3 linked regions of the Macaca fascicularis genome follow. The protein of the gene in region 1 interacts with the protein of each later gene in a biochemical or structural test. Links are inferred from orthologs where the notes say so. Each region holds a gene or a part of one and is shown on either strand. Other genes may lie near its edges.

Region 1 (3,515 bases):
AAACGCCATGCCATTCATTCACTTAATAAATATTTATTGAGCAATGAATAAGAAAAGACCAAAAATCTCTGCTTTTGTGAAGCTAGCATTCTAGTGGGGAGGAGACAAACATAATAAATAAGCAAATTATGTGGTACATAAGATGGTTAAGAATTGCTATGGAGAAAAAAACATAGAAGAGGGGTGGGGAGAAGGGTAAGCCAAGTATTCTGAGGGCTCAGATGGAGAATACCTAGCCAAGGGAGATAAGAAGGTTCCTGGAAGAGGTGCTAGGGCAAGAAAAAGCAAATACCTATTCCAGATTTGTAACAAACTCTGGGAAAAAGAAGCCTAGAGCTGGGCTTTAGGGCAGACAGATTTGGACCTGAGGACTGATGCACTAGCCATAGAGATTACTGGACTTGAAGCACTTCATCCCAGCAGAGAGCCAAAACTTGTCTCCCTACAAGGTATATAGGGCAGGTCTTATTGGACCATTTTCAAGATAGGGGAACAAGAGCAAAGCAGTGACATAGCTAAGGTCACCCAGTGGGTTGGTGGGAGAGCTAGGATTCCTGACTCAGGGGCACATTGACAGGGCCCCGTGTACACTGGCCTATGTGGGGCTGTGATATGAGGACAAAGGTATAGAGGTAAGGGAGGGTGGCCCAAACTCACAATCCCTGAGTGTGTTGAGAAGGTTGGGTTGAGAGACCCAGAGGCAGCAAGCCTTGCAATTCCCCAGGCTTTTTTTTTTTTTTTTTTTTTTTTTTGAAAATGGAGTCTTGTTCTGTTGTCCACGCCGGAGTGCAGTGGTGCAATCTCAGCTCACTGCAACCTCCGCCTCCCAGGTTCAAGCGATTCTCCTGCCTCAGCCTCCCGAATAGCTAGGGCTACGGGCGCATGCCACTACGCCCAGCTAATTTTTTGTATTTTTAGTAAAGACAGGGTTTCATCGTGTTTGCCAGGATGGTCTCGATTTCCTGACCTCATGATCTGCCCGCCTCGGCCTCCCAAAGTGCTGGGATTATAGGCGTGAGCCACCATGCCTGGCCTCCCCAGGCTTTTATGGAGCTTTACTATCCTGTTCTATCCATTTTATCTCCTTCCCTAGTGCTATGCTGGAAAATGAGAAGAAGAAGCGTGAAATGGCAGAAAAAGAGAAAGAGAAGATTGAACGGGAGAAGGAGGAGCTGATGGAGAGGCTGAAGCAGATTGAGGAACAGACTAAGAAGGCTCAGCAAGGTGAGGCTTGGAGTCACCTTGGAGATTGGGTTTTTCCAGACCTGACTCTGAGCTGGAGAACCTTCTTCCTGAGCTGTACACACAGACAATATAGTTCAGGTGTGGCTACAGACTAGAAAAAGAATGGGCAAGAAGAGAACTCAGAACTTTCTGCCAGCTTTGTCCTGGGGTGGATCATTTCCAGGAAGGAAGCTAGTGTGTCATCTTTATCTCTGTGCTCTTCACTGCCTTCTCCCCTCCTTTTATGCCCAGAACTGGAAGAACAGACCCGTAGGGCTCTGGAACTTGAGCAGGAACGGAAGCGTGCCCAGAGCGAGGCTGAAAAGCTTGCCAAGGAGCGTCAAGAAGCTGAAGAGGCCAAGGAGGCCTTGCTGCAGGCCTCCCGGGACCAGAAAAAGACTCAGGAACAGCTGGTAAAGCTGTAGGATGGACTGGGGTTTTGGGAACTGAGCTTTCTTCCTTGTCTGCCTACTTACTTATAGATACTTTTGCTTACATGCTGGCTCTTTAGAGCAGGCTACCACTCCATGGGCCTCCAGCAAATAACTAGTTCAGAAGCAAGCTGAGAAGTCACTAGTGTGGCCCAGGAATTTTTGCAATCTTCCCTAACCCTTAGTTTCTGTTCATTTTCTTTACCCTTGGGTATCTGAGCTGATTGGCCTGGCAAAGAAAAGGGAAGGAGAAAGGAACAAAAGGAACTCATACTTGAGTTCCTGCTGTATGTTGCTGTGTTGGAAATATTTCCCTTTTCCTTACTTATTTCTTCTTCCCAGTAACCCTATGGGATTAACCTCATATGAGATAATATGCCCAGATAAGGAAATTAGAGCTCAGAGAAGAGATTCACCAAAGGTCACACAGTTGTGGCTAAATAAGGATTAGAACCCATTTCTGCCTCTGTTTGAAAGCTTTGCTCCCTGAAATCACATGCAACTGTGTCTATGCATTTTGGGATCAATACTTTCATCAATACTTTCATCAATACTTTCATCACAGTTTGGCATCAATACTTTCATCACAGTTTCCAAGGGTTCTGTGACACAGAAGTAAAGAACCTGTGGTCCAAACTCCTTGACATATACTCTTCCCCTCTACTGTTGGAGGTGGGAATATAGGGAACCAAGACCTGTCTCTCATGAGGAAGCTGTCATGGGAGATTTACCCAAGGTGTGCATAAGCTTTTTTCCTTGTTCAGATCACCTTGTGACACTTGAGTGTCTTTCCTGTACTTGTCCTGGGAAGAGTCTTAGTGGAATCCTGAGCATTCTAGGATATCAGGAAAGGATCTGCCACTTCAGGAAGTGACCCAGTGATGGCCAAAGCTTTACTGAGGCCCCAGCTGCATACTTGCCAAGAGGGGCATGGGGAGAGATAATGAGGAAGGGACAGAGATGGCATATTGTTTGTCTTCAGGAGGCCTACAGTCTAGGTGGGGGAACTCTGACTTGAAGTGGTGGTCAGGAAAGATGGGACTGGAATGAAGTGGTGTGGTAAAAGAGTCTCTGAGGCAGCAAGCAAGTGGAGCAGTAGGTCCCTTACTAGTCCCCAAGGGGAACTTGGGTTGAAGACACCTGGGTCCTGAGGACCAGAAGGCCCACCTCTCACAGGCTTCCAATTTTTCCGTAGGCCTTGGAAATGGCAGAGCTGACAGCTCGAATCTCCCAGCTGGAGATGGCCCGACAGAAGAAGGAGAGTGAGGCTGTGGAGTGGCAGCAGAAGGTAAGACACAGGGCGTAAAACAAAGCATTGAGGGAATGGGTACCATATGCATAGGTTACAGCTCCTTAGATTCCTTATGTTTTGGCTCCCTCCCTCTTTCATACTTCCTACAGCAGGCATCATGGGAGAAGGTACTCATAGTTTCCTCAAATACTTACTGGAGTTCTTCAATACCTTTAGGAAGTTGGTACAATTGCTCTTGTTTTATGGCTGAAGAAACTAAGGATCAGGCAGATGAAGTGTCTTGTCCTACCTGGTACCTGCCTCTTGCCAGACCATTCTAGGCATATACAGGATGCCACAGTTTAACTGGTCTCACTGAAAGTCTTTCTCTCCTTCTGTCGCTGTACAGGCCCAGATGGTACAGGAAGACTTGGAGAAGACCCGTGCTGAGCTGAAGACTGCCATGAGTACACCTCATGTGGCTGAGCCTGCTGAGAATGAGCAGGATGAGCAGGATGAGAATGGGGCAGAAGCTAGTGCTGACCTACGGGCTGATGCTATGGCCAAGGACCGCAGTGAGGAGGAACGTACCACTGAGGCGGAGAAGAATGAGCGTGTGCAGAAGCACC
Region 2 (4,287 bases), on another chromosome or scaffold:
AATCTCAGCTCACTGCAGCTTTGATCTCCCAGGCTCAAGCGATCCTCTCACCTCAGCCTTCCAAGGAGCTGGGACTACAGGCACCAGGTCCATGCTACTGGGCCCTGCTATTTACAAATACACTAGACTTGGGTTTTAGCTGCTCTCTCAACACTAGATGGGAAATGAATTGTTCGGAAGGCAGAGGAATAGAGGAGGGACCTGATTAGGAAGGTGGGGGTGCTCCAGATGAGAGAGGAGGTGCTGTGACCTCAAGGTCTGGGAAAAGTGGGTGAATGCAGGGCTCCATCAAGGCCCTCAACAAGGTCCCTCTCTGGTGCTCAGATGTTAGGCCCAGAAGACAGGTCAGAGGCCTGAGGTCAGCGGCAGGTCAAAGGTGGGAGTCCCCCCTGGTCCCCTTGGTGCCTTCCCTTGGAATGAAGTGACCAGCTGCCTGGAAAGGTGGGCAAGGGGGCAACAGGATGAGGTAAAGGCCAGTTACAAGTAGAATCCTGGAAGGTCGGGTGAGGTGGCTTATGCCTGTAATCCCAGCACTTTGGGAGGCCAAGGCAGGCGACTCACTTGAGGTCAGAAGTTTGAGACCAGCTTGGCCAACATGGTGAAACCCCATCTCTTACCAAAAAGTACAAAAATTAGCCGGGCATGATGGCACATGCCTGTAATCCCAGCTACTCGGGAGGCTGAGGCAGGAGAATTGTTTGAACCAGGGAGGCAGAGGCTGCAGTGAGCCGAGATCCCACTACTGCACTCCAGCCTGGGCAACAGAGTGAGACCCTGTTTCAAAACAAAACAAAAGCCAAATCGAATCCTGGAAAGACAGTGGCTCAGGGACTCAGCTGTCCCCAAATCACCTACCTTAGCTCTTCGTGCATGGGAGGGGGGATCCCCAAAATCTTCAAAGATAGGGAGATGTCCTCAAGATCTTCAAAGGTGGCCAGGCGTTGTGGCTCACGCCTGTAACCGCAACACTTTGGGAGGTCAGGATGGGAGGAGGCCATCTCAAGGCCAGGAGCTCAAGACCAGTCGGGGCAACATAGCAAGACTCTGCTTCTGGTTTTTTTGTTTGTTTGTTTGTTTGTTTTATGTTTCCTTGAAATCCCACCTTAGCATCTAAACAGTGGTGCCTACAGGTTTCCCCCATTAACTTCCTCTCTGGGAACAGAATATTCCCCTCCCCACCTAAGTTCAGCCGGAAGGAGATGCCTCATACCCCCACACCCAGGCTTCCCAGTGCTGAGAACAAAGGAAGCCAGTTCAGTTAGCATTTCCTGGCTAGGAACTGGGGGCCAGCAGTGCAACTGAGACCAGCCCTGTCCCTGGGGGAGACTCAGCAGTGCTGGCCACTTTGCAGAGCCCCATCTGGGTCCCCCATTCTAGCCCCCCAGGGCCATAGCATCCCCTTCTCCCCACAGGCCTGGGTAAGGTGCAATCCCCAGACTTCTGCAATCTTAACCGCTGTGCTTCCGTCTCAGTGGGAGGCCCCGCCTTTCCCCCTGCCTGCCCTTGGGGCACCTCAGGAAGGCCCCTTCTTCTGTCAGAATGGCCACCATAGTACCATCCGTATCGTGGCCCGGGGCCTGCTGGACTCTGCTGGTCTGCTGTCTGCTGACCCCAGGTGAGGCTGGTCAAGCCCAGGAGGGCTGGAGAGGGCTGGGTTTTGGGGCTCAGTAGAAGGTGGAGGAAGAGAATGCAACACTCTTTGCATCCTGCCACACTGCGACCTGGCTGCTGACCCCGTATCCTCGGGAGAAAGTTCTGGTTCCTTAGTTCTGCCTTCAGGTGGTCAGGCCCCAGCATACGGCTTCTACGCCATCCCTCTTCCCCAACACACACACACACACACACACACACACCCCTCACGCTTCCTGCTCCATCTGAACTCCTGAAATTTGCCCTTTGCGTATGTGGTTCCCTCTGCCAGGATCAGCTGTCCCTTTCACTTGCTAACTCTTACTTAGCTTTCAGTTTCAGGCTGGCATGGTCCCCTCCTCCAGGAAGCCTTCCCTGACTCACCTCCTCCTATGCTGGATCAGAGTCTCTTCTGGCCTCCTTCTGAGTTCTCCCTGGTCCCTGATGGATTCTGCCTTTCCCACTGGACCATGAGGGCGGGAACCCTTCTATCTCGGCACAAGGAAAGAGGTGTTAAATGGTGGGGCCTGCTGATACACGGGTTGGGGGGCAACAAAACGAACACCAGGATTTCTTCATGTTCCTGAAGGTGCCCAGGGGCAGGAGTTCCTGCTGCGGGTGGAGCCCCAGAACCCTGTGTTTCCTGCTGGAGGGTCCCTGTTGGTGAACTGCAGTACTGATTGCCCCAGCTCTAAGAAAATCATCTTGGAGACGTCCCTATCAAAGGAGCTGGTGGACAATGGCACGGGCTGGGCAGCCTTCCAGCTCAGCAACGTGACTGGCAACAGTCGGATCCTCTGTTCAGGGTACTGCAATGGCTCCCAGATAACAGCCTTCTCTGACATCACCGTGTACAGTGAGTCGATGTGTCCGGAGGTGGGACTGGTGTTGGGTAGTGGTGTGGGCAGGTGGCCGATGGCTCAGGAGAATGGAGACCCTCAGTTTGCAAAGAATGGACCAGGGTTCTGACCCAGAGCTCAGACCTGGATATTTGTGTGTGTGAGATACAAAGACAAGGCCGGGCGCGGTGGCTCACGCCTGTAATCCCAGCACTTTGGGAGGCCGAGACGGGCGGATCACAAGGTCAGGAGATCGAGACCATCCTGGCTAACACGGTGAAACCCTGTCTCTACTAAAAATACAAAAAACTAGCCGGGCGAGGTGGCGGCGCCTGTAGTCCCAGCTACTCGGGAGGCTGAGGCCGGAGAATGGCGGGAACCCGGGAGGCGGAGCTTGCAGTGAGCTGAGATCCGGCCACTGCACTCCAGCCTGGACGACACAGCGAGACTCCGTCTCAAAAAAAAAAAAAAAACAAAAAAAAAAACAAAAAAAAAAAACAAAAAAAAAAAAAACAAAGACATAGAGACACATCTCAATCTCATGCCAAGGCAGCAGTTGTGAAATCAATTAACTTGGGCCCCAACCAGCATTTTTTTTTTTTTTTTTTTTTTTTTGAGACAGAGTTTCGCTGTTTTTGCCCAGGCTGGAGTGCAGTGGCACAATCTCGGCTCACTGCAACCTTCGCCTCCTGGGTTCAAGTGATTCTCCTGCCTCGGCCTCCCGAGTGGCTGGGATTACACATGCACGCCACCACACCCGGGTAATTTTGTATTTTTAGTAGAGATGGCATTTCTTTTTCTTTTTTTTTTGAGACGGAGTCTGGCTCTGTCCAGCCCAGGCTGGAGTGCAGTGGCCGGATCTCAGCTCACTGCAAGCTCCGCCTCCCGGGCTTACGCCATTCTCCTGCCTCAGCCTCCCGAGTAGCTGGGACTACAGGCGCCCGCCACCTCGCCCGGCTAGTTTTTTGTATTTTTTTTAGTAGAGACGGGGTTTCAACGTGTTAGCCAGGATGGTCTTGATCTCCTGACCTCGTGATCCGCCCATCTTGGCCTCCCAAAGTGCGGGGATTACAGGCTTGAGCCACTGCGCCCGCCTGAGATGGCATTTCATCATGTTGGCCAGTCTGGTCTTGAACTCCTCACCTCAGGTAATCCGCCTGCTTTGGTCTCCCGAAGTGCTGGGATTACAGGCATGAGCCACTGCACCCTGCCCCAACAAGTTTTTTTTTTTTTTTTGAGATGAAGTCTGTTGTTCTGTAGCCCAGACTGGAGTGCAGCGGTGCCATCTTGGCTCACCACGACCTCTGCCTCCCGGGTCCCAGTTCAAGCATTCTCCTGCCTCAGCCTCCCAAGTAGCTGGGATTATAGGCATGCGCCAGCATGCCCAGCTAATTTTTGTATTTTTTGTAGAGATGGGGTTTCACCATGTTAGCCAGGCTGGTCTTTAACTCCTGACCTCGTGATCTGTCCACCTTGGCCTCTCGAAATGCTGGGATTACAGGTGTGAGCCACCTTGCCTGACCCCAACAATAATCTCAACACTTTGGGAGGCCAAGGCAGGAAGATTGCTTGAGCCCAGAAATTTAAGACCAGGCTGAGCAACATAGGGACACCTTGTCTCCACAAAAATAAATAAAAAATATTAGCTGGGGCCGGGCGTGGTGGCTCACACCTGTAATCCCAGCACTTTGGGAGGCCGAGGTGGGCGGACCACGAGGTCAGAAGATCGAGACCATCCTGGCAAATGCCGTGAAACCCCATCTCTACTGAAAATACAAAAAAATTAGCCGGGTGTGGTGGTGGGCACCTGTAGTCCCAG
Region 3 (4,150 bases), on another chromosome or scaffold:
CTGTGTTTGCAGTGAGCACCCCTGAGGGATGAAGACGTGTCTCCCTGTGGGACACTGGGCTTACCAGGGGCCCTAGAGGAGGGGAATCTCTCAAGCTCAGAGCTCTGTGGCTGCGATATAGGCCCACTATGTGCGCGGTGTCAGTTTGGGTCCTTCCATGTTGCCTCTGTGGGACTTGGGGTAAGGGGAACTGACGCAAACATCAGGCTGCTGTTGCTTGGTGTGAGCAATTAATTCCTGCGGCTCTCACCCTGGAGTCTCATGTCTTTGGGTCAGACAAACTCATCAGCTTGTGGAAAGGGCACAGTCCCAAGGACCTGTTAGAATCTTCTATTGTGCACATGTTGCTCTTAAAATATACAAATCAGTTTTGATTTTAAAAACTTATGCATTTTATTTTTAGTGACAGGGTTTCTGCTGTGGTGCCCAGGCTGGTTTCAAACTCCTGGGCTTAGGGGATCCTTCCGCCTCGGTGGGACTACAGGCATAATGTATCACCACGCCCGGGACTGATTTTCGTTTTTAAAGAACAAAACCAAAGACATACACAAACCAAAAGTCAAAGCTTGCTAATTAGAGGAAAGTCAGGAAATGGGAACCATTCAAAGAAGAAAATGCCTCGGCCTCCTACTCTCACCTATCCAAAGACAATTAGGTGAATCCCTTAGTGGATATCTTTCCAGACACTTTTCCATATAGAGTCCCACATCTGGCCGGGCGCGGTGGCTCACGCCTGTAATCCCAGCGCTTTGGGAGGCTGAGGTGGGTGGATCACCTGAGGTCAGGAGTTCCAGACCAGCCTGACCAACATGGAGAAACCCCGTCTCTACTAAAAATACAAAATTAGCTGGGCACAGTGGCGCATGCCTGTAATCCCAGCTACTTGGGAGGCTGAGGCAGGAGAATTGCTTGAACCTGGGAGGCAGAGGTTGCGGTGAGCCAAGATCATGCCATTGCACTAAACTCCACTTCAAAATAAATAAATAAATAAAATAAAATAAAAAATAAAAAGATTCCCATATCTTTACTAGTTTGCTGAAATAAGATCCGAGCATATGCAGTGTGTAGGAACCACCTTGGTTTAGCCAAGCCTCCCTGACTAGGGGCCACTGGGGTGACCCCCAGCTCCCCGTGAGGGAGTCAAGAGCTCACCAGCTTGCAAAGGTTTTCACGGCCCCCAGCCAGACTCGGGGGCTTCCTCTTGCCCTGCTACTTCCTGGGAGCTCTGAGAGCAGGAAATGGCACCACTCAGCTCCTGGCCTAACAGCTTGGGGACCACAAATGCAAAGGAAACCACCCTCCCCTCCCACCTCCTCCTCTACACCCTTGAGTTCTCAGGCTCATATTCCCACCACCCACCTCTGAGTCCAGCCATCCCTAGCATCACCCCTTCCATCCCATTCCTCAGCCAAGAGCCAGTAATCCAGATTCCAGATCCCGCACTTCCCTGCCTGCCTCAGGTGAGCCCCAGACCCCCAGACACCCCACTGGCCCCTGAAGGAGCAGGTCATGGTGCTGTCTTCGCCCAGCAGCTGTGGGAGCAGGGCGGGTGGGGCAGGATGGAGGGGTGGGTGGGGTGGGTGGAGCCAGGGCCCACTTCCTTTCCCCTTGGGGCCCTGTCCTCCCCAGTCTTGCCCCAGCCTCGGGAGGTGGTGGAGTGACCTGGCCCCAGCGCTGCGTCCTTATCAGCTGAGCCGGTAAGAGGGTTGAGACTTGGTGGGGTAGGGGCCTCAGTGGGCCTGGAAATGTGCCTGTGGCTTGAAAAGACTCTGACAGGTGATGATGGGAAGAGATTTGGAGCCACTGGGCTGCACAGGGTCAGGGAGGGCCAGGAGAGGGTGGCCACTGCTGGAATCTGAGCTGCCGAGGCTGGAGGGAGCCTTGGGATGGGGCTGATGGGGGAGCTGCCAGCATCTGTTCCTCTGTCATTTCTGATAACAGTAAAAGCCAGGATGGAAAAAACCGTTAAACCGCAGGTTGGGCCTGGCCGTTGGTAGGGAAGTGGGCAGAGGGGAGGCCCGGCCAGATCCTCCGGCAACTCCCGCGTGTTCTGCTTCTCCGGCTGCCCACCTGCAGGTCCCAGCTCCTGCCTGTTTGCCTGGAAATGGCCGTGCTTCTCCTCCTCCTTGGGGTGCTTGTGGTAAGTCCAGAGGCTCTGGGGGACACGACAGCTGTGCAGACACCCGTGCCCGGAGAGACTTCTGGTCCTTTGGTCTCTACTAGCAAATACCTGAGCATCGACTCAGAGATGTACACCGCTTCAATAACAAGTGACCCTAAGGCCGACGGCACTGGGGACCAGACCTCAGCCCTACCTCCCTCAACTTCTGTCAATGAGGGATCCCCTCTTGGGACTTCCCTTGGTGCCAGCACTGGTTCCCCCTTACCTGAGCCAACAACCTTACAGAATGTTTCCTTCGAGATGTCATCAATGCCCCAGGAAAACCCTCATGCAACCAGTCATCCTGCTGTTCCCATAACAGCAAACTCTCTAGGATCCCACACCATGACAGGTGGAACCATGACAACGAACTCTCCAGAAACCTCCAGTAGGACCAGTGGAGCCCCTGTTACCGTGGCAGCTAGCTCTCAGGAGACCTCCAAAGGCACCTCTGGACCCCCTCTTACCATGGCAACTATCTCTCTGGAGACCTCCAATGGCACCTCTGGACCCCCTGTTACCATAGCAGCTGGCTCTCTGGAGACCTCCACTGGGACCACTGGACCCCCTGTTACCATAGCAGCTGGCTCTCTGGAGACCTCCACTGGGACCACTGGACCCCCTGTTACCATGACAACTGGCTCTCTGGAGCCCTCCAATGTGAACACTGGACCCTCTGTTACCATGACAACTGGCTCTCTGGAGCCCTCCAGTGGGGCCAGTGGACCCCAGGTCTCTAGTGTAAAACTATCCACGATGATGACTCCAACGACCTCCACCAATGCAAGCACTGTGCCCTTTCGGAACCCAGATGAGAACTCAGGAGGCATGCTGCCAGTGGCCGTGCTTGTGGCCCTGCTGGTGGTCATAGTCCTCGTGGCTCTGCTCCTGCTGTGGCGCCGGCGGCAGAAACGGCGGACAGGGGCCCTGGTGTTGAGCAGAGGCGGCAAGCGTAACGGGGTGGTGGACGCCTGGGCTGGGCCAGCCCAGGTCCCTGAGGAGGGGGCCGTGACAGTGACCGTGGGAGGGTCCGGGGGCGACAAGGGCTCTGGGGTCCCCGACGGGGAGGGGTCTGGCCGGCGGCCCACGCTCACCACTTTCTTTGGCAGACGGAAGTCTCGCCAGGGCTCCCTGGCAATGGAGGAGCTGAAGTCTGGGTCAGGCTCCAACCTCAAAGGGGAGGAGGAGCCGCTGGTGGCCAGCGAGGATGGGGCTCTGGATGCCCCCGCTCCTGATGAGCCTGAAGCGGGAGACAGGGCTGCCCCTTAAGTGCTGGCGAATAGTAAGGCTGGAGGCCGGAATCTCAGCCAGCCTCCAGCACCTTCCCTCTCACCATCACACTGCCCCCTCACTCCCACATTTCCACCTGGCATCCTGATCCTCACCTGAATCTCTCTCTCTCTCTCTTTTTTTTTTTTTTCTGAGGCAGAGTTTCGCTTTGTTGCCCAGGCTGGAGTGCCATGGCATGATCTCAGCTCACTGCAACATCTGCCTCCTAAGTTCAAGAGATTCTCCTGCCTCAGCCTCCCGAGTAACTGAGATTACAGGCGCCCACCACCACGCCCAGCTGCTTTTTTGTATTTTTGGTAGAGACGGGGTTTCACCATGTTGGCCAGGATGGTCTCAAACTCCTGACCTCAGGTGATCCACCTGCCTCGGCCTCCCAAAGTGCTGGGATTACAGACGTGAGCCACCGTGCCTTACCTCCTCACCCGCCTCTTCACTCTGAATCCTCATCAGGCCTCTCAGCCCTGGATTTCCTGCTGGCATCCTCACCCAGCACCTGCAACCAGCACCTGGGCAGGGCAAGGCCGGCACCTCTCAACGTCTGTGGACTGAATTAATAAACCCTCTTCATCCACCCCTATTTATCTCCATCAGGATTTCCCCCTCTTTCTTGTTCTTGGAAACGGCTGCTGAGTCTCCATCAGCCAAATTTATCTGACCTGTGATTTCTTTGAGAATTCTCCTTTTCCCCCACACCCCACC

What was found.
Region 2: the proteins of MSN (region 1) and ICAM3 form a complex in vitro, tested with the Homo sapiens proteins (2 studies listed by BioGRID). The link is inferred for Macaca fascicularis from reciprocal best matches to the Homo sapiens genes MSN and ICAM3.
Region 3: the proteins of MSN (region 1) and SPN form a complex in vitro, tested with the Homo sapiens proteins (2 studies listed by BioGRID). The link is inferred for Macaca fascicularis from reciprocal best matches to the Homo sapiens genes MSN and SPN.

What each region holds. Positions count from the first base shown.
Region 1 is NC_088395.1:72,033,128-72,036,642, forward strand, and holds part of MSN (moesin), read left to right. Parts: intron 1-1,093; coding exon 1,094-1,224; intron 1,225-1,476; coding exon 1,477-1,637; intron 1,638-2,850; coding exon 2,851-2,943; intron 2,944-3,295; coding exon 3,296-3,515. UniProt on the Homo sapiens protein: Ezrin-radixin-moesin (ERM) family protein that connects the actin cytoskeleton to the plasma membrane and thereby regulates the structure and function of specific domains of the cell cortex.
Region 2 is NC_088393.1:10,897,873-10,902,159, reverse strand, and holds the start of ICAM3 (intercellular adhesion molecule 3), read left to right. Parts: upstream 1-1,483; 5' UTR 1,484-1,539; coding exon 1,540-1,615; intron 1,616-2,218; coding exon 2,219-2,485; intron 2,486-4,287. UniProt on the Homo sapiens protein: ICAM proteins are ligands for the leukocyte adhesion protein LFA-1 (integrin alpha-L/beta-2). ICAM3 is also a ligand for integrin alpha-D/beta-2. In association with integrin alpha-L/beta-2, contributes to apoptotic neutrophil phagocytosis by macrophages.
Region 3 is NC_088394.1:28,449,346-28,453,495, reverse strand, and holds SPN (leukosialin), read left to right. Parts: upstream 1-1,342; 5' UTR 1,343-1,460; intron 1,461-1,627; exon of another isoform or gene 1,628-1,697; intron 1,698-2,076; 5' UTR 2,077-2,104; coding exon 2,105-3,430; 3' UTR 3,431-4,026; downstream 4,027-4,150. UniProt on the Homo sapiens protein: Predominant cell surface sialoprotein of leukocytes which regulates multiple T-cell functions, including T-cell activation, proliferation, differentiation, trafficking and migration.